Nothobranchius furzeri: one gene and its partner. The protein of the gene in region 1 interacts with the protein of each later gene in a biochemical or structural test. Links are inferred from orthologs where the notes say so. Each region holds a gene or a part of one and is shown on either strand. Other genes may lie near its edges. The genes, in order: fyb1b and skap1.

Region 1 (12,490 bases):
TGCAGAAACTTATTAAAACAATGCCACAGCGAAAGTGTGCTGTTATCAAAACCAAACTTGATCTAACAAAACATGAGTGTGTGACCTATTTTTTTTGGGTGGCAACTTTTTTGGGGGGCCAGGCGACTGGGTGTTACTGAGTAGGGCTAACATTTATTGGTGTCTACATTTATGTTTAGGTTTATGTCTAAGCGGAGACTGTTGCTGATCTCTGCTCCCTCTGATGATGACTACTCCTTCCAGCAGCAAATCTCTGCTCTCAGTGGTCAGGAGTGCAGCCTGGGTGAGTTTCTGAGTATCTCAGCTTCTTTTCTGAATCATGAAAACTTCATAGAGCCAGGGTTACCCTCTGATTATGAGGACCGCTGATCTTGTTTGGCCACCATTATACATGCTGTTCACTGGAGCATTTTTAATAACATTTTAAAGTTTACAGTTTTGTGAGAAAGTATTTATCTCCTCACAGGCGTCTTTTTTCCCCGTTTTTGTCACATTTAAAAATTTCAGATCAACAAATAAAAAAATAAAGAAGACAAAATGCATTTTATATTTACTCAGGTTTTAACAGATAATTAAGTGTTTCTTAATCTGAAACATTCAAGTCAAACAAAACAATCTAAAAATCTTTTTAAGGTGGTATTATTTTCACATAACTTCATGCTTTGTGTGCTCTTTTAACCCTTCAGGTATTCGCCACTTTGCCATGTTAAAATTGACTGGAAATGGAGAAAAAGCATCAGGGACTGTCGAGTTACTCCCAATAAATGGTACGTAACCCTTTTACAGAACTGTGCAAGTGCACAAGTCAATATTGCTACCCAAAATAGAGATATTTTTCACAATATTGTGACTAAAAATTATACAATAATTTCATAATCATAAGCTGTGGCAAACTTTTGTTTCTTCATCAGCTTTCACTGTGTGTCATTTCCTTTTCCAGGTCGTAGTCAGAGTGAGGTAGAGCCATTATCACGCGACATGGTGAACAACCTGAGAGAACAGCTCAAAATCAGTAAGGACTACTTCAGTTTGGTGGTTGTGGGAAAAGACGGTGATGTCAAGGCATGGTTCCCATCCCCCCTGTGGTCCCTGGATAACATCTATGACCTGGTGGACTCTATGGAGCTTCGCGTCCAGGAGGCAAAGCTCCAGAAGAGACTAGGGATCAGCTGCCCTGAGACTGGAGGAGGAAGAGGTGGAGGCAGCGAAGAAGGGCGCTATCCTGGATATGACGAAGAAGAGGCAGAAAAGATGTACATGTAGTGGAAAGAAATAAGTAAACCATACAGGAACAACTGAAATAAACACGTGTGACTCAGAGGAAAGAGTTTATTAAAACAACATAAGTAGAGTTGATGCCACAACTAGAAGGATGGATATTCTCTAAATTAGCAAGAAATAGAAAAATCAGCTCTAAATAGTGAAACACTTCCCCACATATGTACATGAAAAAAATTTATAATTGTCAAATAAACAAATGATCCTGCCTTTAACTGTTTTTAATTTAGAAGAGAAAATTTCACATGAATTCTCCCCAAAACAAACAAAAATAAACCTTCACAATTCTTCAGAGTTGCTGAAATGTTTAGAGCGGCAGGCCAGACATAGTTAGAGTTAGACACTTGTTGGAAATTTTAAAGTATGGTTCACTTGTTAAATTATTACATTAGCAGTGGTCTCAAGGAATGAATGTCTTGTAAGTCGTACTCTGAGGTAAAAAAGGCCAGATGGACTTGTTTCGGGACCTAGCAGAATGCCACATCAGAGGAGAGCAGAACACAGCAAGACTTGGAGTCTTTCCCAATATTTGGACATCTTGACTCTGATTGGCTAACAGCAACATGACTCTACCACTGACTCAGTTTTTTTTTGCAACGTTGATGTTTTATCTCCACAAATAACACAAGCCTTGAGAAGTTCTGCTGTGTGGTAGAATTGCTTTTGCTAATGGTTAGCTTCTACTAGCCGAAATGTTGTGTCTGCTGTTGCCTGGATGCTAAACCAACAACAGCCTTCCCCATCTTGAGTCAAGATGGGTGAGTCCATGAATGTTAACTGACAATGTGACAAAGATCTGTCAGGATTTTTTGAACCAAGTGTTTTTCTGTCTATTTTCTATCAGAAGCTAATGCAGCAGATAGGTGTAGGATACTGTTATGTTCAGCCTGCATAAAAAACTCAGAATGGCTGATTATAATCAGAAATAATATTTAAAAATGTTTTTTTCAGTGACCCATACCGTTAAAATAGTGAAACACGTCCTCACATATGTTAATGAAAATATCTTATCTTTAATTGTCAAATAAAGAAATTATCTTCTCTTTTGTTATTTTTATTTAAAGGAGAAAATCTCACATAAATGTTCTCTCTAAAAAAAACATCCTCAGTTTTTCATAGATTACTGCTGAAATATTTAGAGTGGCAGGCTAATCAGACATTAGAGTTAGGAATTGGGTGAAAATTAATTTTGGTAACACTTAACAATAAGGATCTCTTTATTAAAGTGACTTAGGTCATTGCTAAGCAATAATAAACTATTTAATAAAGTATTAAGAACTGCTTATGAAATGCATTACTAAGTAGACACCCCGTCCTTAAGGACACCTAATAGTTAAAATAATGGTTATGTTAATAAAGGGACCATTAATGTAAAGTTCATATGTGTGTGTGTGTGTGTGTATGTATATATATATATATATACATATATATATATATATATATATATATATATATATATATATATATATGGTCTTTCAAACTGGAACAGCTGCAGAATGTAAAACCTTTGTAGTTATTTTGAATAATAAGGAACATAATATATATATATATATATATATATATATATATATATATATATATATATATATATATATACATACATATATATATACAGTATATATATATACACACCATTTAGCTGTCATATATTTAAAAATGTCAAATTTCAAGTTGAAAGGAATATTTAGATTTGGCGATGATGAGAAAGATTAGTGAAAAAGGGCAAGTTTGTGAACTGGAAACACAGGATTTGATAGTAAACAGATACAAATATTACACACTGGGCCTTTAAGGTAACACAATGAGATTTAACCTTCTGCTTGCTGGAGCAACTCCAGAGACTGTGCTGGCCTCTATGTTATAGTCAGAATGCTGGCTGGGTATTTATTTTTACATATTCATAAAGTCAACATTTGAAGCTTCAGCAGTTATTATTTACAGTCTCAAAATGTGAGGAATTTCCATAACCTGTAGACTGCACTTAACTGGGTCCAGTTTCATCATAGAACAAGAAGCATGTGGTTAAATCTCATTAGAATAGATCATCTTAAAAAGTTAATTTAAGGTCACCTAGGCTGTGTTTGTTGCATAAGGTGGTTTGAGTTTAAAGACAATCATCTTCTTATGCTGACAAATTGTATGTGAGTTTTCTGTGGAAAGCAAGAATGCTTCCAAGTGATCATGAAGTTTTTGTTAGAGAATGAAAATCTTACTTGTTTACAATAAATACGTGTTAATCTGACCAGCCCTCCACACAACAAAATGTACTTTATTTGCCTCTAGTTTAACTGATTCTGTGAAGAATGTGAAAAGTGGGATCTGGAAAGTTTTGAAGCCAGTTCACAAAGGAGGCTCTAAGCTGAGCAAAAGCAAGACTGAGGTAACAAAAAATAAGTCAAAAACCTGAATTTAGAACAGCACACAAAGACAAATCTCTGACCCGATCGTCCAACGGAGTACAACTCGAAGTGTGTCAAACATGTGAAGTGAACAAGACCTTGATCGCAATCTAGCAGAGATGAAAGGAAACTGTTCTGAAGTGGAAACCCAACAACAAACAGGTAAGTGGAGATGAACAAAGACAGAAGTAAAACTAATTCAAAGTAAACAGGAAGAGTATTGGCCACTAAATAAATCAGGAAGTTTGAAAGGTCAGAACGCATGGCAACAAATTAGGGCCGCACTAACAGAACAGTAGCCTGGCAAGCCGTCCTCTAGTCTGGCCACGACCCATTCAACCCACCCAGTGGTGGGGCAAAATCTATGGTTGCCTGTCAAACAGTCTCTGCACAAAACTGGACAGCGCTATGACAAATCAGAGCAACAAACAATGTGGCATACTCATGGTAGACCTGCTGAAGCTACGATTGAGCGTGGCTAGGCCGACCTGCTGAGCTAAATCTTTTGCTACCGCAATGCTTGGTCTAGATTTCTAGGCAGATTTCTAAACACTATAAAAACTAGGAATAAAATGCGGCTGCAGTTTGCGACTTAAATTTAAATGACAAAAGACAATAAACCAAAACTAACAGCATTCAAAATAGTCCAGGATTCAAATTACAAAGAACTCCCGTCACAGAAGGATGGATTACCAAAATAAATAGCTATCAACTACTTGTGTGTAAATTTGCATCATGTTGCGCCTCCAAAAGACTCCTGGTCCCACCGAGAGAATCCTATTGCACACCACAGCCTTCTCTTTCTCACAGGCAAAAAACATCCATGTTTATATTTCTGATGTAAAACAGCAACCTGTGTTAGAAATAAAAAGGATTATTTAAACATTGAGGAAGAAAGTCTGAAAGCAACAAAGAACGAGTAGAACAAATCATCTTTGACCGCTATGTTGAACCAAATTCTGTCTATGTTTAGCAATAATGTTTTTGTTATTGTTATAATTTTGTATTATCGTTTTTTTTACTTTTGCATTATTATTTTCTCACCTCGTGCACTGGACAGGAAGTGGTCAGACTGCTGCACAGCTGCAGGTAACTGGTAACTTTGTTCTGTGACATTTATGGCCAGACTGTATGATACTGTCTTCTAAAGAGACAGATTTTCTCTCATGTGACATTCTGGATGGAAAAACATGTCATACAATAGGATTCAATGGAACAGTCGATGGTGTTGTTGCTTTTTTTTAAAAATGTGCCAAAGGGTGGCCTGCAGGGAGTTTGCAGCAGATAGGCAAATCCATAAGATCTAACCCAAGAGATAACAGAGGCAGCCTCACACCACACACACACACACACACACACACACACACACACACACACACACACACACACACACACACAAAGACACTCATTACTTAGAGAGGAAGTGTTCAGTTATAGACAAATGCTTATGTCACAACCAGAGCAGCTGAAGTCCCCCCAAACACACACACACACACACACTCACACTCACATCCACACCCTGAGTCAGATGCTTGGTGTCTCTCTCTCTCTGAACTTCAGTGCCGCTCTCACTCGGCCAGCAGCAGAAACTCACACTGAGACTCAGAACAAACACAATTCACCACTCGGTCCTCGGATCGCTCCACTCTGAGAGGACTGTTGCTGCAGAGATGGTGAGTACAACTTCATAACTGGTTACAACTTTAATTCAGTCACCTTCGTGATCCATGCATCTCTTTAAAGGGGATTTGATAAATTGCCAGTTCATCAGAAATAAGTTTTTCTTTGCGAGACTGTTGGGAAGTCTTATTGTTGTGCAAACTAGCGTTGTTTTGTTTGATTGGTTGTTTGAGTGATTTGATGAACAATTTCTAAGTTATTCTTATTAAAATCCCATCTTATCATGATTTTCTTGTACATTTGTTTATATGTAGACTTTAAAAAGGTTATGTCATGATGAAATCATCTAAAGTCACAGCTTTTATTAGCAGGGCATCTTGTCCTTCACCTTTTCTCTCTTATTTTTGAGCAAAGGTGTTTCAGTGAGCTTTCTCAGCATTTTATTCGACTTTAACTGTAATTAGACCTAAAAATGTTCTGTTTGCAAAAATAAATAAATAAAGATGATCTAATAATTCAGGTATTCCTAACCATGACAGCTGTGTCTTTAGAAGCTCTTGCACTAGTGCATGCTGGGAGGGAATTCCAGTATGTGACAAAATTTAGGGCTTTACAAAATTGCAACTGCTGTGCAGCTGCAAGAATTTTGTACAGAATATTAAGCAATTTTGTTACCTCTCCGTGACTGAGAAACAGAAGTACTAAGAGGAAACTTTCCTCTCTGTGTGCATTCTTCTTTTTTCATAAATATTTTTAGTCACATCTGAGGGCTGGTGTTGAAACACTTCAGCTCTGTGGGATGTTACTGGCAGTGACACTGACGTGATATTCCCCTATAAATACTTTTAGCTGGTAACACAATCTCCTAAGATAAACTTTCTCTGAGACCACAAAGGTGACTGAGATAAAGGCGTCAAAGCTAATCTAACTACTCATCCAATACAGAAGGTTTCAAATGAGTGAGTCATATAGTAAACCGGCTCTTCTACAGCTTACAAATGATCAGTTGAATGTTAACAGATAAATAACCTGTATTAAATGTGTTCTTTATAGTATTAAAGTTTATTACACACCAGATTGTGTACGAGGAATCATCAAAGATGGTTTCTACATTACGATAGTTGGAATTTTTTTCATTTTTGAGATTAGGTTTGAGAAGGCCATTCAGGAAATCAAGTAAAATACCACAGTCTCAGTAAAGCCCCAAAATAAGGTTTCTAATTTAAATAACATTGAGCAGTTTTCTGCTCCTCTGCCCTACTGTTTGAAAGGGAATTACAACGGTCGTAAACAACCCTGCTGTAGTTAGTGCTAACAACGAGCTAACGCTAACATGAGCCAACTAATACTAAAATAAACCACAAAGTAAAAGAATTCACATTGTTGGACAAAAAATATTATTACTTACAAGTCCAGCAGCAACAAAGCCAGGTCACTATCAGTCCATGATTTTGTAGCCTCCTTTAGCTCCCTCAAGGTCGTGCCGATATTCACTCTGGTTTTAGCTCTTTGCTTCGCCTCCAAAGACATTGCTGTCTTACTTTTAGGCCCAGGCTCCACCTGTCAACAGAAAAAGCAAACATTTTCTTTTTCTTCTTCTTGTGCTTTTTATCGGTGATTAGCAAACTCAAAATGCTAACCACTAGCATTACAGCTAACAGCCACAAAGCAGGTAAAAAAAAACTTCCCTCAGGACATCTACCTGCTCCACAAAACTATTACATGTAGTTTTTGGTCTGCAGAGCACTGCAGAGTGGTGTCAAACATAAAACCAGTCAAATTTCTAACACAACAATCACTGAGATCAATGTTAAAGTTCTAGTTTAAAAAGTTTTTGTTACTTTGGTATTTTCCATCACCTTTGAGTACAGCAAAATGTTATTGAATGAAAACATTCAAAAAATTTAAATGCCACTTGAACACCAATATTCATACTGACTTTAAAAGCTAATTACTTTAAATGCCATTAGTTTCCTGTTCACCGTTACACTTCACCCCCTGCTGTGTATTTTAGTCCTCCTCTCTTTTTACTGCTGTGGAGCAGGAACAGGAGAAACTGAGCTTTTATCTCCACTTCCTGGTGAAGTTTCTGCCCCAGCCAAACCAGCCTTTAGAATAGGTGCGGCTGCTGCTTTGTCTGTCTGTTTGGAAGCTGTTGCCAGCTTGAAAACATCCTGATAGGTCAGTGACCTTGTTCATATGACAAACTGTCATTTGAACAGTCAATTCTGAAGAGCTCCATGGCCTTTTTGGTTCAGTCCTACAGTCAGTGTAAACGTTAACCTGTTTTCTGTGTCGCTGAGAGGGTCTGCTTGAACTTAAGATAGAAATGTGTTTGATAGTCAACCCTCCTCCAGCACTGCAAATATTTAGTTTTGGCACATTTAGCTAATTTGCAACATTATGTGGCTAACTGCACTGACCCAGGCAAACCAGGAAGTTGGTGCAAACTGTAGTTTGAGAAGTAGATGTTATTTTTTCCTTGTGTAACTGTAACAACCTGCAATAAAGAAGAAAAACATTATATATCATCTGGTTGACTTAAAATGTCCTTCTGTTTGATGTCCTTTGTGACCAGATAAAAAGCAAAAACATATCTTTTGTCATACTTTTCAGCAGAGCGTCTTCTCTGTCATGTATGCTTTAAAACATTTTAAAAGCACTGATTAACTGCACACTAGAACCCATGGTTACTGATGTTTGTGAGTCTGTGTATGAGAATAATGTTTAAACGATGCATAAAATTATTGCATGTTTACATACGTTGCATAACTAGTGACATCATCACGAAAATGTTATAAATGCCAGTGTTACTAAACTCTATGACTAGTTTTGGTTCTTATTTGCACATAATGCATCAGAATCTTCCAGTCCACACTCACTAAACACTTTATTAGAAACACCTTCCTAGTACAAGGTTGGACCTCCTTTTTCTTCTTTTCACTGCTTTAATTTTTCATGTCAGATTCAACAAGATGTTGTAAACATTCCTGAGGTTCTGGTCCATGTTGGCATGATAACATTTCACAGTTCCATCCATGATGAGAATCTCTCTCTTTGAGAGGTGCTATATAAAATATCTTCTACTTCTTCTTCTTCTTCTTCTTCTTCTTCTTCTTCTAAAAGTTCGACTGGACAGAGATCTGCAGATTGTGGAGGTCATTAGGGTCGAGTGAACTCATCGTCATGTTCTAGAAACCTGCTATGATCTGAGCTTTGTAGCATGGTGCATTATCCTGCTGGAAGTAGCCATCAGAAGATGGGTTCATGTGATCATAAAGGGATGGACCTGTGAACTCAACAAAGCATTTTCATCCACACAGCTGCTGATCCTGATTCTTTTCAAATCATCTCTAAGAGACATTTTAGAGTCTCAAATTAAACTGAACACACATGTTTTGGATGTGGAGAGCACCCACTCACACATGAGGAGAACATGCTAACTCCCCTGCAAAAAGGCTGTTGCCAGGCTTTGAACCTGCAACCTTCTAACTGGGAAGCAAAGTTTCTTCTTCATTCTACTGATCAGTTTGACTTTCAGCAAGTCATCTCCAACAGCTCTAGGTGCTGGCAGCATTGCCTTACTCCCTTGTGATTGGCTGATTAGCTGTTTGTGTTTAAAAGCAACAGAACAGACGTGACAAAGAGTCTGGCGAGGGTAGCGTACAGATGTTGATTGACTGTTTGTGTTTCTGTGTCTTGACCCTGTTGACAGCTGAACATTTTCAAACTCAAACATGTGGTTTGAACTGTTTGAGTCACAAACAGACACGAGCAGCTGCTTTGAACATTTTGAGTGATCTAGAGAGGCAGGAAAAAAACTGATTGTTAAAAAGATTTCTAATAAAAAATGCATGAAAAAACAGCTTGAAAGCAGTAAAAACTATAGCGTGAGAGGAAATATGCTAATGTTTGAGTGTTTCAACTTTCTGTTCCTATTTTGTTGTTATTTGAAGTGTCTGAACATCTTTTTTGTGTTCATTCCCATTTTCCCTTGCCCTTCAGTTTTGCTTTCTTTTTGTCTTAAGATCAAGCCAAGACCAGTTTTAGTTTTCCTCTGATTTACTGTTTGTGACATTTTAAACTATTTTGAATCAGTCTTCCTCTGATTGTTTTTTTTCTCTCTCAATCTTATAGGATAGCAAAGCTGATGTAAAGGCAATGAGGGCTCGTTTCCAAGCGGGTGGGGCGAGCACTGAAGACACTTCCTCTACATCTCTTGGACGCCCAAAACAACCCGTGCAATCCACTCTCTCTGGTCCAACCGCCCAGCGTAAGCCTGTTTCAGGGAGCCTATCAGGGGGTTTACCTCCCAAACCATCTACTTTGAAAGCCACACCATCCAGTAAAAATGACACAGACATCACTGAACCAAACAAAATTAAAGCCATGGCTAACAGGTTTGGCCCCTCCCAAGATGAGTCCTTGTCCCCCAACAAAGCTGTTATTACTAATAAACTGCAGTCAACCTTGAAGCCAACTTTTCCCCAAACTCCTGATGCCAAAGGCTATGCACAGAAATCTCCTCTGAACAAACCCAGTTCTGAAATCAAACCCGTGCTCCCAAAGCCTCCAGGGGTACCAACATCCAAGCCCAGTTGGATGAAAGAGGACACCAATGGGGTTACAGCCTCAAACACCACCACCAACCAGCCCATATTACCAAACTTGCAACAAAAACCAATCAGCAACGTCCGAAAAATGTGGCAGCAGAGTGAAGACCAGGGAGATGCAAACGCAGAGACAGCGAACAAACCTCCGCCTCAAGTAAATGTTTCTTCTAAGCCGACCTCGAACTTCAAATCTGCTCAGAATATGTTCAACAAGGAGAAAGACATGTCTGAGTCGACAGAGAGCAGCATGGCCAGCAAACGGCCCTTTGCTGCTAGCAGCACTTTCCCTCCTCCTGCTCCTCCGGCCAGTAAAAAGCCAAGCATTAAAAAGCCAACGAAGTTTCCTCCTCAGGCCAATGGGACAAACGACGAGGCTGGACCAAAGCGTAACCCACTCCCTAACAGCTTAGCGTTGGGTCCCGCTCCTGCTAAACCAAACCGTCCTCCCAAAGTAGAACTGGAGCACTTTAAACACGGTGCCGAGGCCTCTGAGAATGGTAAGTAAGATAGAAATGTTTTTTTTTCTTCTTGTGAGCACAAAACAAACAAGGCAAAAACCCTTGAGCACAGAAGTTATTAATTGCCAGCCCCTAAAAGGGTAAAGTCACACTTTCGTGTTCCTCAAAAACACGGGATAGACACAAATAACCTACCTTATCAACTTCTTGCAGCATGCTTCAAACTGCATGTCGAATTCTTAGAGTAACATAATGTAACCAATTCATGCAGACTTTGTGTTCTTCAGGGTTATGCTGGATTGTTTAAACAACTTAAGTTTTCATTAACATCTTAGAAATTCTGCTTTTTTCTTCATAATGTGCAATGTAAAACAAATGAATGCCAAGCACCTATGGTATAAAGTGAAGAGGCTGAGTCGTTTGGCTTTTTATTGCAGTTGTCATGTTGGGTGGCAATTTCTTGACTCACAACATGCAGAATCAATTCTCGGAAACAGGTAAGTGAAAAAAAGGTTTTATTTTAAAACGAGAAACTAAGAGGAGTAACAGGGAACAGAAGAAGCTCTGCGGTGGTCGCAGGATTCCAGGGCAAGATTCTGAGGAGGGAAACAAGAGTGAATATCCGGTGGGAATAATTGGAGAATTTGTAGTTAGGCGGGAGCTTACTCTTTTCCGGCAGAGACAAAATGTATGGGGAGGGGTTGGTCTGGCCCGGGTGAGCTGCGGAGATCCAGAAGGCGATGAAAAACTGTTCATCCAGAGATGAGGTAGGAGCGGAGGTTGGTGAGGGCAGGTGAGCAGCTGAGAGCGGGCGGCCAGGGGAGGAGACAGCGTGATCTGGGTTGCAGGAGTCCGAGCTGGTTATGGAGATGGTGGAGTGTGGAGCGAAACCGGAGAGGAGCAGGGAAGAGTAGTCAGGGCTTTTCTGGCGGCAGATTTTCCAGCAAAATTCACAGGATCTAGTAAGTACACGGGAACTAGCAAAAACACAGGATCGAGACAGGTTAGAGGCTAGAGCTACCCAAACAGAGTAATCATCCGGCGTGGTGTAGTGTCACACTGCTTCTTAAATCCCCTGGGCCTTGATGACAGGATCAGCTGCAGCTGGTAGCTCTCAGACACGCCCACCTGCAGACAAGGCTCGGAGAAAAACAGGGTTACAGACAGGCAGCTCACCATGGACCATGACAGCAGTATTTAGAATTAAGCCAAACAACCCAGACAAAAATAAATGCTGCACTTTCAATAAACAAATCAGAACATTAGCGTTTAGGTTGTTAATCCTAGGACCGATGCCATCGTTTGCAGCTCCTGTTTTTTTTTTAGCAACCATTAAACAAACACATTAGTAGACAGCAATTAGTAAACTCAGACTTTCGTTTTACATTAGATAGAATAGAATAGAATAGAATAGAATAGAATAGCTTACTGATGAAACACGGGGGAAACTCACTTGTTACAGCACTTAGAGAATAATTTGAAGATAAATAACAAAGGTACATGTATGTACACATGGGCAGTAAACTAGTATTGTAACCTTCAACCACTAAAAACCATGAATAAAAACAAAAAACGTGGGTTCCAGAACTATGTAGCATACTGTAAGGGACACAGACATACTATGTAAATCCGGTATTGCACAGGTATTCAGCGTGTACTGAGTATTGCATTGATGTTATTGTGTAACAGGATAATGCCAGTACCAGTTAAACTGAGGAGCTGAACATTCTTGCTGCAGAGGGGATGAATGACCTACGGTAGTGTTCTTTTTAAATCTGGGATGTCTCAGTCTGCCTCTGAAGGAGCTGTCCATGGTCTCCACAGTGGAATGCAGAGGGTGGGAGTTTTTTTTTTAGGTCATCTTCCCTGGCATCCTCCTTTCACACGTCTCCTCAACTGAATCTAGTGGACAGGCCAGAACGGAGCTAGCTTTCTGAACTAACTTGTTTAGTCTCTTCCTGTCTCAGTCAGAGCTGCCTGCATCACAAAGACATCACAACAAACCAAATAAACAAGTATTATTTTACAAGAGTGGGGATAAGATTAAGTCATCTTTCAGAAACAAACTTCTCAAGCTTCTCAGTAAGATAAAAGCTACCATGGAAAATTTGGCTAACAAATT
Region 2 (12,490 bases), on another chromosome or scaffold:
CCGCTCTCTCATCGACCCCGCTCTGCTTTGTATTCCAATTAACTGGACAGGGGTAGAGGCAGCAGGATCACAGGCAAGATGTAGACGCATTCCTCTGGCATTTTCCCAGTCTCTCAATACCGATAGTGCTTGGCTTCCCTTTTCCTCTCTTCTCGGATTATTACAAGGCCAGTTGTTCCTGGGGAATAATTCACAGTCCTCTCTCCCTCCAGGGACAGTGAAAAATAGGCCCCTCTCACACATTCATACATCACATGTAATTGAGGCACCTAATCACTCAGTCACTGCTGGAACTTCTGTCCTTAACAGACACCTCAAATAATGCTGAATTAATATTTTGAAATGGCTCATATATTCTAACATAATACAATTTGAATGATTTTCCATTCGGTGCTTTCAGGGCTAACATTGATCTGAGCTGAGGTAACTCTTTGAGGCAGACTGAAGGTTGTGCGTTCAGATTTGCTCCTCTGTCGTTTCGCCTCCTCAGTCTTTCATCGCTTTTCTATACTGTCACCACCGAAGCACCCGCCCCTCCTTCCTGCACTCACATATGTTTGAGCAATGGGTGGTTTGGGAATACAATGATTCAGAGGAAATCCGAAAAGTAAACTGCCTCTTTTTATCTCCTCGAGCAGCACAAACATTTGCAGCTTAAGAGTCAGACCAAACACCCTTTTTTAAACATATTTAAATTGGGATCAGATTTGAGCAACAACTTGAGATGTTTGCAAAAGGTTTCACAAATAATGAGATTGAATTAAAGTTTATCCAACAAAGTTTCTTTTTTTTAGATGAAGTCAAATACAGGTTTAAAGACATGCATGCTTTATTTGTCCCTTTAAAATGTGCAAACCTCACGGCCTATCTGGAGAATGCAGTGTGTGCCTGTTTGCAGGACAGGATGCACACACACACACTGTGCCCTGAGGAACCTCCTGACTCTCTCCTGATGCTATCAGATCAGAGAGACCTGCCGTCCTTCCCCACACTGCAATGCAAATAAAAAGGAATGTGCTGATAAAAGGCCAGATCCTGGAGATGAGAGGGCAGGAGGAGGACAGAGGTAGCAAATGCTTCAAGGGGGGAGAGCCTCTTGGGGAGATGAGAGGAGAATGAGGAGTCAGTGTTGGTAGTAGTGGTAGATCACAGCCTTGCTCCCCCTCAGTGGCGTTTGATACAGGGCTTTTGTCGCTCTTTCAGAGGTGCATTGTTGGGTGGTGTAATCCCCGTCGGATTACAAAGAGCCTCCCTTTCCACATGGGGGGGCTGTCTCAGCAGGCAGGTGGCTGGGGGTCTGTGGAGCTGTCAAGGGGAGGGGACCTCTTTTCCAGGGGATGGGACCCCAGTTCCTCTTACCTTCACAGGGGCTTTTAGCTGGGAGGCCAGTCAGGCACAGGTCAGCGTGGGGACAATCCTGATGTGGGACTCAACTCAGCCTGACCCTGTGGATTCCTGTTGGGAGGTGACAAGGAAGGAGGCCTTCAAGTGACAGCTTCCTACCTTAAAAATCATTAAAAGTAAAACAAAACAACAACAATGAAAAAAAAAATTCAGAAAGTTGAGTAGTCCTACTACCGTCAGTGGTGGATTTAGCAATTTGGGGGCCCAAGGCAAACACAGACATGGGGCCCCCTTAAACTAAATTTCGGCAATCTTACTTTTAACTGGATTTACGAAACTCTCCCCTCTTCTGCCATGAGTTATTTTCCCTTTTTATTAGTCCTCCTCTTTTTGCCTGTCTTTCCCTCCCTTTGAGTGCTTTCAATATTTGCTCTGCTTTCTTCTTCCAGTCAGTGCTCCTGTGCTTTAGCCTTTTTTAATTTATTTTTAATTTTGGTCTATGTTTTCCTCCCTTTAAACATTTTCTATTGTCTTTCCTTTTCTGCTTCCTTTTGATGTTTACATTGAAAAACGATGTAACTTTTGGAAGTGAGGATAAAAGTGTTTTTAAAGCAAGCTGCTTCTTTCTCTTATTGGAGCTACTAGGATAATTCCATTTCATGCTTAATGTTTTGACTACCGCTTCAAGTTTGTTACGAATGCTCCCGCCTCTCTTCTTTCTCTTCTTCTTATTTGTGGTCTCATGGCACTTGGCACATGACAATTTGGTGCATTACTGCCACCAACTGGATTGGAGTGGAATGACTACCAATCGCTTCCTGTTTGTGCATCGGCATCTTAAAGGAATAGTCCATTGTGGCATAAACTGGGGTGCTGGCGGTCAGGGCTAGGAGCCCCCCCAACATAAGGGGGTCCCAGGCGGCTGCTGACCTATGCCTAATGGTAAAACTGCCACTGACTACCATACAAAATGCAAAACGAGCACTACTTCTACAAAATTTAAGACAATAAATTATTTGTGAAACATTTCAGCTGCTTGTGTCTTTCGACAACCTTTAATTTAAAACAAAATACATTATTAATGCATTTTAGAGCAACAACCACCAAAAATTGCAACGGTCTAACAAAGCTTGATAAATATTGTCCACATCAGCAGATTGAGATTTAGTTACTCAATTGCTTTCCTTTCCTGTGTTTCAGTAATACAGGATCAATAAGACAATAGCAGGAGCCACCAGTATTTCTTTATGTGCTGCATCTGCTGCCACTGTCTCTTCTGCAAGGGTCAATTGTGTGTGTAAAAGCCCAGTCCAGTTCAATCCATTGCTGTTCACTCTCTACTGGTAATCTGAACCATCCATCCACACCCTGTCAGATGTAGTGAGGGACCAATTTAGTGGCGCTGAATTCATGTGCCGGCTGAAATATTCTTGTTAGTTTTTTCTGCTTATCCTGAACATTTATGGGAGATTTAAACAGTAAAGTGAGAATTTCTGAAACACATTTCAACGAGATGTGCTGAAGACAACATTGTTTATTTGATTTAAAATTCAGTCGTTGCATCTTAAATTAAGTGTAGTTGTTTATTGGCTGCTAAAACCATCCAGACATGTATTTATCTTTAAACACAAGAAAGAATTATTAGACTGCATGTTTATCAACATTGAAGTACAGCATTACCCTGTTTATTTGTGCTTACATGTACTTGAAAGAAGCCACTTCACAAATCTGACATGTACAGTAAAATAAAACAAACAAACAATAATTGTTGTTTTTCACCTTATTGGTCGGCATGTTGATAAGAGACAGTGTATTGCAAAGCTTTATTGGTTAACTTAAATTCATAATGTTCAAGCAAAAACTCTGTAAAGCCTGATTTACAATTACAACAACTGCATCAAAATGTTTGCTGAGGGTACTTGAATGCATCTTCCTCCTGCTAGACTGACATCGCAAAAACACACTTAGCTAGCCCGTCAAGTTAGCCTCTGACCAAACTTTATGAGGTAAGATAATTGTGTTCAAGTCCAAGTTTTAAGTCCAAATCGTTCCTTATTAATCGAAGGCTAAGACAAATTAGATTTTTAATACATTTACACAGTGACCTTTATCACGAGTATGACGGTGCCAAGGTTAATTTCCGGTTTAACCATGCTAGCTTATGCTAACTAGCTAGCTACAAACACATTTTCCTCCTAATTAATTTTTTGCTGAAAATATAAATAATTTTTCGATAGAAATGCCAAACTGCAAAATATAGTTGAAAGTTTCTGGTTTGCTTTTCATTTACACATGTGGTAAAATGATAAGTGCATATTGTTCTGCTTCATCATTACATTGTGATGGTTTCATTATATAAAGCTAACATGACAAACTGACATTCTATAGTAATCTAATTTTATTACAAATTTATTGCATTTGCAACAGTCAACTCACCTGTATCTAGCCTCGATGGGCTTTGGATTTGTTGCTAAATGCTTTGAGATGACCTGTGTTGTGAATTGGTTCTTTCTTAATAAACTAAATCCAAAAAGGAAAAAAATGTCAAGTTTGTGGTTAAACTTCAAAGTTGAAAATTATTGGCAAATGGTTAGCGAATAGACTGTAATATAAAGGTGTTCCACTGAGGTGTTATATTTAATTAGGTGGTTTAATCAACAATACAAATGAACATTACCACAGTTTTTGGGGAATCTGCAGTGATCTCTGTATGAGGCCAAAAGACAACATATAGAGATCCTCAGGCCCATCAGTAGTACTGCATTAAAACACACATTTCTGAAATGGGTTCACACATTTTGAAAGCAATCTTCAGTGAACACACATCATTGCCAAGTGAATGCTGATTTCTTCCATGCAAGAACGATCATCTGTCTTATCACCTACCAACATCTGTGTCGTCTGTGTGGATAACCCGTGCTTTTTATGGAACAACATATACTTCCTTTTAGAGAACCGTTTTTAGAGGGTGGTTTCGATGACTTCCTGTACATAACACAACAGCAGGGCTCATTGTAGAAATAGATTTTATCGTTTGATTTGAACATGAAAGCACCCATACACATTTAGCACACTGAGCAGCTTTGCAGCATTGTGAGTCAGAGGTGTGAGCCAGGCTTTGGTGTGTTTCAAATAAGAAACCAGACTGCAGAGGAAGTTGTCATCTGTGCATCTGCTCCACCCCAATTGCAAATCTAGAGCGGAAGTAAAGTTTCAGTTGTAAGGGGTTGGATGGTTTGCCTGCCTGCCTGTAGATTTTTTTAGTGTGTGCCAGGCTTTCTTTCCTGTCATGGAGCTGTAGCAGAGTCTGGATGCATTAAAGCTGTTTGAGGGTAAAATTTTTTTATCAAGATTTAAGTGAGCAGAAAAGGCTGTTCCGACTTATTGTTGAGCAGGTGAAAGCCAAGAATGGGTGCCATCCCGAAAGAAGTCAAGAGGCTCTTGGATGGTAACATCTTTGTTTTATACTCAATCTTTCATCAAAACTACCAAGTTTCACTTTAAAATGTTATTATTTAAAGCAAAAGAGCTTTTTATATACAATATGATGAGGCAGAACTGTCTCAGTCAAATGACTATTATAAAACATTTCTACACTGACATTGAAGGGAAAGTAGAGTGACTTTCTAAAATAATTGTCTGGTTTACAGAAGTAAACTCTGGAACATATAAAGTTTTATATCCCACCTCCTCATTTCAGACGTCATGTACAGTCAAATGGTTTCCTTCGTTGTGGCACCTTATCATTTGATCACATTTGCATGTGCTGCCGAACCACTGGAAAAAAACAAACCTGTTTGCGTGTGTCGGTTTATTTGTGTAATAAGGGAACATAAAGAAACTGAATCGGATAAGTGATGTGGACCAACCTGTTTATTTTTTTCATTATCACATTTATTTGTGGTTTTAGTTCAGTAGGATCTTGAAATAAAATGTTCTTCCTTTTTGTTGGTTCCAGTTTTCTCACCTATTGTTCAAGTCATAGAAAAATGTAGCTGTTTATGTTTGGGAAAGTTGTGCAGCAGTGAACGTAGCAGGCAAAAATGAAGAATTTAATCATCCTGACAGAAAGAACAAACACATTAGGATGGCTGCTTTCTTTTTAATTAAATTATTTGGACATTTTTGTTGGTTTAAGTATAAAATAACGTAATTTTATGTATAAAACTGTAAACCGTCATTCAAAATGTCAATTGTAACAAACACAAAGCATGAAAGGTAGTTGTGTGAAGGCAATGTATGCAGTTGTGTTATTCCTCTGTAGCTTCTGATTATGAACTGTTTCCACTAAAATCTAACACTTATTCATATTTTTGTTTTTAGATTGTGAATTATTCATATCAGACATCCTTCAAGAGGAAGAACTGAGTGAAAACTCTCAAGAGACACGGAAAGTCCTCCTGAGCAACTTCTGGGTCATTTTTAGAAAGTAGGTTTTTTAATCTTGAATCTACAGACTCTTTACTGCTGAAGTGTGACGATGTAACCTTACAGCCTCCTCATTAAACATTTTGTTATTAACACAAAAGAAAAAACCTTAACTGTAATTGCTTTACATACGGTGTGTAATTTGCTTTAGAAAGAGCTCATTTCATCTAATGGCCCCAATTTAAAGACTTCCTTCTTGCTTTTATTTTTTATTATTATTTAAGGAATTTTTCATGGTGTTTTTTATAAACCTTACATACCTGCCAGTGTCACGTTACACAGCTATTGGAAATCCATGCAGCAGCTGACCCCTGCACACTCCAGAGGCACTACATTTTATTGCTGCTGCTCATATCTAGGCTCGTAAATTATAATTCCATGTAAACACGTAATGTGAAGTTGATGGTTTAGGAAATGCTACTAAAACAGCAGTGAATTTAGAAGATTGGGTTGTTTCATAGATTAGCGCTAACCTTAGCGCTAACCTTGGGACAGCAGTAGCTCAACAGGATGAGGGGGTTGTCCAGTAATCGGAAGGTTGCAGGTTCAATCCTGGCTCTGGACAGAGAATTCTGCTGTTGTGTCCTTGGGCAAGACACTTAACCCATCTTGCCTGCTGGTGGTGGTCGGAGGGACTGATGGCACCTGTGCTCGGCAGCCTCTGTCAGAGCGCCCCAGGGCAGCTGTGGCTACATCGTAGCTCATCATCACCATCAGTGTGTGAATGAGTGTGTGAATGGATGAATGATACACTGTAGTGTAAAGCACTTTGGAGTCCTTACCCTGAGAGGCGCTATACAAGTGCGGGTCATTTATCATTTATCATCATTTAGATCTAGGCTAGCTATTAGCTCATTAGACCTGAGGTGTGTAAGCCTTTTCTCTGAACTGATTCAGTTTAAGAACCCATCTACAGATCCAATTTCTACACAGAAGCAGACCTCTACATGGCTGAAATAAACTTTAACATTTTTAAAAGATCTTCTGGAAAACTCTTGTTTTACTCTAATCATGCATTTTAAGGTGATTTAAAGAACTGTATTTGAAACCAGAAAGTGAAACTCTTGCCTGTAGTCTGCTTGCTCTGTCCGGATGTTGTGGTGCCTGCAAAACATGTATGCCGACATGAGCTGTGTTACAGAAAACCTGTGGTTTTGTGGCTCTTTGTGCAGGAAACAATTATTACATTTTAGAAGCAATCTTGTAGCAAAAAAAAAAAAAGAAAGCAAAGAAAACGCTTCAGGTCGGTGCAAACGATTTACCTTTTTTGTGTTTCACTTTTCTAGATTTCCTCATGACTTTGCCTCACGATGTGAGTAAATATCAAAAAGTATCATGTACTGGTGCCTATGTACCAACTCATTGTCCCTTCTTTATGTTTTTATTTCACACACTTGAATAAAAACTCAGTGGATCTCAGAGAAGACGACGGTTCTGATGATAACCGCAGCTCCAGTCTGGGTCGTTCTGCTCACTCTGACACATCAGACTACCAGGATGAAGTCCCTGAGTGTAAGTTATCAACAATCCTGTTTTGGATCCCGCTCTGTGATTTCTACATGTCTGTAATTGCAGAATTTTTGCACAATGCAGAGATCTGAGCTCAAAATGGTCTAATTGCTGTGTAGCAATGGCTTTTTATTACTCCCCAATAACATACAATTCTAGCAGCAAACCACAGTCCAGCAGAATAAATGTAAGCCTCGGTAACGACATCCTGGAAAATATTAGGAACACGCGTTTACACTGAAAGGCTAAGTTCTGTATTAACAAAGGAAATGATGAAGAGGAGGCGTCAGCGCCACAGAAGGCAATGCCAAACTCCTCTGAGAAAACTACAGTTTTAGCACATTCACAAAGCTTCGCCTCACCACAGGAAGAGCAGGTGGATCCTTTTGTTATATTGTAGCACACCCTCTAATTAAATATAAAAAAAAAACAACAGATCACATCTGTGAATTTTACCTCCCTGCTGGCCTCCTACCTCCCTGTCCGGTGACATCAGCGGCTCCTCCTCCTCTTCCCTCCTGGACTTTCAGGTACCTTGGTGCTGGAAATATGCTGCTGGTGGGTCTCAGAGACCTGAATGGTGACCTATAGCTCCCTCCAGTGGCAGATTCGCCAGCAGGTTTCTGATCTCTGAGGGACGTGTGTGGATGGTGGGAGGAGAGGAGGAAGCCCACACAGAGAGGAGAGAGGAGGCTTTGTAGCTGCAGGCTAATGCAATGATTTATTGACCCTGAGCTCCTCTATTCTTTCGCAACTGGGTTTGAAATACAACACTGTACCTGAGGGGCCATGTGTGTTCCATTCCTCTCTCCCTTTATCATTCTTTCTTTCTATCTTCCTCTTTTTGCCTCCCTCCCATTCAGACTTTTAGTATTTCTGACTCTAATAGCCCTTGACGTGACATGCCGCAGGTGGGCGTTATGGACTGTGCAGCCTCAGGTGCCCATCTCTGCTGTTTCTGTAGCTGTTCTCATGAGATAAAGCAGGACGCAAGTTGGAATTTCTCACTACAAAAAAGGGAATATTTTCAGTCTTTTTAGGATACTGACGGTTAATGCCAGCTGGAAAAAGTCAAGCATAGAAGTGGCTTAATGAGCTTCATCTCTGCTCTCAGAAAAAAACACTGCTGCTTGTTTCTACTAGTTCAAAAAAAAAAACATCAAAGCAGATGGTGTGAGAATAGACCACAGTTACAGAAGACAATTATTTGATTTTTTTTTTTATTTCAGTGTGAATAAGAAGAGATTTCCTTTGGGAAACATTCAAAATCGAACCATAAAACGCTTAAAATGTCCCCTTAAGGCTTATGGATAACACTGGTAAATGGTGTCGCTGTGGAAGTGATTGTTTTTAACGCGTGCACACACACACACACACACACACACACACACACACACACACACACACACACACACACACACACACACACACACACACACACACACACACACACACACACGCGAAAATCCAAATTAGCTGCACAAACTGTAACATATATTTTTTTCTTAAGTTTTCCTTTTAATGATTATTTTTTTAAACGATAAACAACCAGATTGATGTTATTGTTTGATAAATAATCAAAACATTTGATGGGAGGAAACACCTTGCAGCACTGAGGCTGTTTTGTGTCTGCAGCTTTGTCGGCGTAGCGACAGGTCTGTCCTGACTAAAAGGGCATGTTGAGTTCAGAGTTCATCCAGTGTTCACTGCCAGCTGAAAGAAACGACTCGCATGTTTCTGCTGGGCGGATCTGTTTCAGAGGATGGGGGGGGGGTGTCAGTGGAAAATAATGGCTTCAGTTCTTAATGAAATCAGAGACATTTTTTGGAGGAGCAGCTATCCACGACACAATCTGGGGGTTCTTTAATATTTAAAAAACCTTTTTATGGCAGAAATCTTATTTTGAAAATTTATTTCGTGATTGAGAGGTTTGTTGGAAAAAGAACAGAGTAGAAAATGTATTGTCTTTGATGTTTGATTGCGTCTCTCTTTATGTGAGTCTACTGTACACAATAGAGACTTTGTGACTTGGAGAATGTATGAGCCGTGGTAATCGACCGCCTGCCTTCGCTGCACTGCCTTCTCTAACCAGTGAGTGAGTGAGTGTGAAGTCGATGGCTGCTTTTACTCGCAGGAGGAGCCTGCGCCGTTTGATTAGATGCGGTGGCCTGTTGTCTTCGGCGGGCTGGGTGACACCATATTTGTAATGGCTGAAAGGAACAGATGGAGCCTCCTTTGTTAGCCAGGGTGTCTGCATGGTAATGTGAACTGAGTTTCACCCGCCGACCGCACCGGTGACCTGACCGCGCCTGTAGCCTCATACACCCCAACTCCCTCTGCCTCGCTCGTAGCAGCCGCTCTGTGGGGACTAGCTCCCATTTTAAGGAATTTCCATTCCACCATCATTCCAGTACATTATGCATACATAAACAAATACAGGCACAAATTTCTCCCTCTGGCGTGAAAACGCTCTACAACGCACGTGCTCGCCCTCACGCAGACACAAATAGACCCCGGGAGACAGCTGGAGATGTGGGGCTTTTAGCCCCGTCATGCTGTTTGCAGGTCAAGTGTACGAAGTTGAAATGGCCTGTTTGTTTTTCTTTGATTGGGGAGCTCTGCTGGGCGCTCGCGGATGTTTGCTGCTGCAGCGGTGACAGAGCACTGCAGGAGGAGCTTTGTTCCAGGAGTCATGCAGGAAAAAAAAAAGATGGTTTTGATATGATACAAGTGCCTTGAGTGTGATGCACCATTTATTTGTATTACTCAGGTGTGGCTGTTTAAAAATAAATGATCTTAAAACTCTTGTTTTCAGGCCCTTTTGAGCTAAAAATAATCTGAATTAGATTGCTGTTTAAACCCTAAACATTTAGTTTACACATTTATTAAAGGTCTGCAACACTTTTAGCTATTTATGTTAATGTTTGCAGATTTATTTTGTGTAATTTAAAAAAATGTATATTTCTTTAACGTGCATGGAAACACAAACTGTCCAATCAGGATGCAAATTTTCAAAAGTTTCAAGGTTAACGTTGGAGAAATTGGACAAAGAAAATCCTGTTCTTTCAGGACAAATGCTAGAACTAGAAGCCAATTATTCACATTCACTTAAATATTTAAGATTTCGTTTTCTCTCTGTGGACTGGTTGATTAATAAAGTAATACTTTCAGCTCCAAAGGAACGTTTGTCCACGTGTACCAGCCAAGAATGGGACTCCTGTCAGCGATGGCTTTGCTGGTCCAATTTCCTAAACCAATTACTGGCGTCAGTATGCAGTTGGACAACCAATTTGAAGTTATGTCTCACTGTTGCCTATTCCTCATTTGAATATGAGGGGCCAATGCACAGTAACAACATTATTACACAGTGCCTGTAAATAGAATATTAAATCTAAATTCTGTCATTTTGGCTAAAGCTTGGAAAAGCCATTTAAGGTGGCATGTGTTTAAGGTGGCGTGTGTGTGTGCGCCTGGGCCCGTTGGCTGGTAATGCTGGGAGAGAGAAAAAAACCAACAAAGTACGCCAGCTGACAAACTAAAACTCTATTAGAGGTTTAATCTCCAGTGTTTAATTTGCCAACTGCTGTTTGTGTTTGAAGTCTGATTGTGGAGGAGGAGAAAGTTCACCTCCTTTCTGATTTCACTTCCAACCACGTTTTTGTGTCTGTTTTTTTGAGATAATTATTATTTTATTATTTTCTTGCTCGTGCCCACTTACTGAATTTTTGACATTTGACCTTTTGTTTGGTCAACCTGTGACCCATCTGCAGTCTGTTCAGAGATGTGTGAAGGATTGTCCCGACTGTCACGGGACGCTCATAAATTGCAAAGTTTCCTTCCACCTGCTGGTAGTCGTTTATCGCGCGTGATTGTCACAATTTCTGCCTGGAGATTCATTCCTCGCCGTGCTCATTGGTGTATGGATCTTGTGACATTTGGATAGCGGCTGCTCGTTTGCAGGCAAGCGAGGAATATGTTAATGACTTCCACTCTCTCCTTCGTTCTCCTTCCCTCCCTGACTTGGGCTGCTATCTGTGTGCTTTTTTAGAAAGTCGCTCGCACATTACGAGGCAGGCGCTGGATCTGTGGATTGCTGCGACTGCTCGCCAGCAGGGTTCAAAAGTTCACCCTATTCCCCCAGGGCTACTGTGCTGCTGCAGATGCTGATAGTCTTTTCTTTCTGCCTCTCTCCTGGCTGCCTTTCTTTTCCTCTCTCCCTCGCTGTTTACACTATTAATCTTGTACACTCTCTCTCACACACTCACTCACTCGACCTGGCAAGAAGAGAGCGGCTTGAAGGGGGGATTTGGACGTATTTAACCGAAGGGCATCCATCACTCTCATCTTCGACTTCACCCCCAGCCTAAAGCCACACCGTGGAGGTTTTTTTTTCTGCTTCCTCCTGGTTTGATGCAGCTCTCTGCTCATTTGCTTTGTTTTATTGTTGCTCTGCATATAATTACATCCCTGCTCAGCCTCTGGTGCAGCAGCGTGTTGAAACCCAGGGAAAACAGGCGAAGGTAAATGTGCAGCCGTCCATCTGTAAGGGAGCACATAGGCAGAATGCAAAGTGGGAAGCTGGGGCAGGGTTGCTTCTAATCTCCCCCAGAGCTGTCCATGTCACAGACAAATAGCAAAACTATCAGTTGCAGCGGGTTCACCCAGAGGTTAGCGTTCCCAGGTACCTCCTGCATTCACTCCCTCTCTTTCTCTTCCTTCCTTGCAAATGAGAATTTGATTTTGCCCTCCACTGGAATCCATTTCTGGAGATGAATGAAGTTTCAATGCCAAGCCCAGGTGGCCCTGCTGATTTCTTAGGGAAATAAATGGAGATGGGAGAGATGTTTTGGCCCATACACAGACAGTGACATGGTGGCTTCCAACGCCTCTGGGATGCCTGCCTTTAATTGTTGCTGTAATATAGCACTTTAAGGTCATTAACACACCCTCGTGGAGTGATTCTGGGATGTTCAGGATGCATCCTTCTTTACACCGGGAATTCCACACGGCAGGGAGACGGGACCGCTCTGTGTGTGCCAAGTGGGACAAGGCTGCTCTGGACTTGTGTGCTGTCAGAAGATCACTTATCCACAGTGGTCATTTTTACCATTGATTTGCAGTGGCCTAACTAGGCTGAAGCCTGTCGACTGGGAGCGCATTTCATTGTAAAGCAACTGCGTTTTCATTTGTAAAATGCACTTAGATAATT

What was found.
Region 2: the proteins of fyb1b (region 1) and skap1 form a complex in vitro, tested with the Homo sapiens proteins (2 studies listed by BioGRID and IntAct, with this or other methods). The link is inferred for Nothobranchius furzeri from reciprocal best matches to the Homo sapiens genes FYB1 and SKAP1.

What each region holds. Positions count from the first base shown.
Region 1 is NC_091746.1:50,403,860-50,416,349, reverse strand, and holds the start of fyb1b (FYN-binding protein 1), read left to right. Parts: upstream 1-5,157; 5' UTR 5,158-5,347; coding exon 5,348-5,350; intron 5,351-9,434; coding exon 9,435-10,407; intron 10,408-12,490. UniProt on the Homo sapiens protein: Acts as an adapter protein of the FYN and LCP2 signaling cascades in T-cells. May play a role in linking T-cell signaling to remodeling of the actin cytoskeleton. Modulates the expression of IL2. Involved in platelet activation.
Region 2 is NC_091756.1:50,180,518-50,193,007, reverse strand, and holds the start of skap1 (src kinase-associated phosphoprotein 1), read left to right. Parts: upstream 1-4,596; 5' UTR 4,597-4,752; coding exon 4,753-4,792; intron 4,793-5,667; coding exon 5,668-5,773; intron 5,774-7,058; coding exon 7,059-7,084; intron 7,085-7,182; coding exon 7,183-7,284; intron 7,285-12,490. UniProt on the Homo sapiens protein: Positively regulates T-cell receptor signaling by enhancing the MAP kinase pathway. Required for optimal conjugation between T-cells and antigen-presenting cells by promoting the clustering of integrin ITGAL on the surface of T-cells.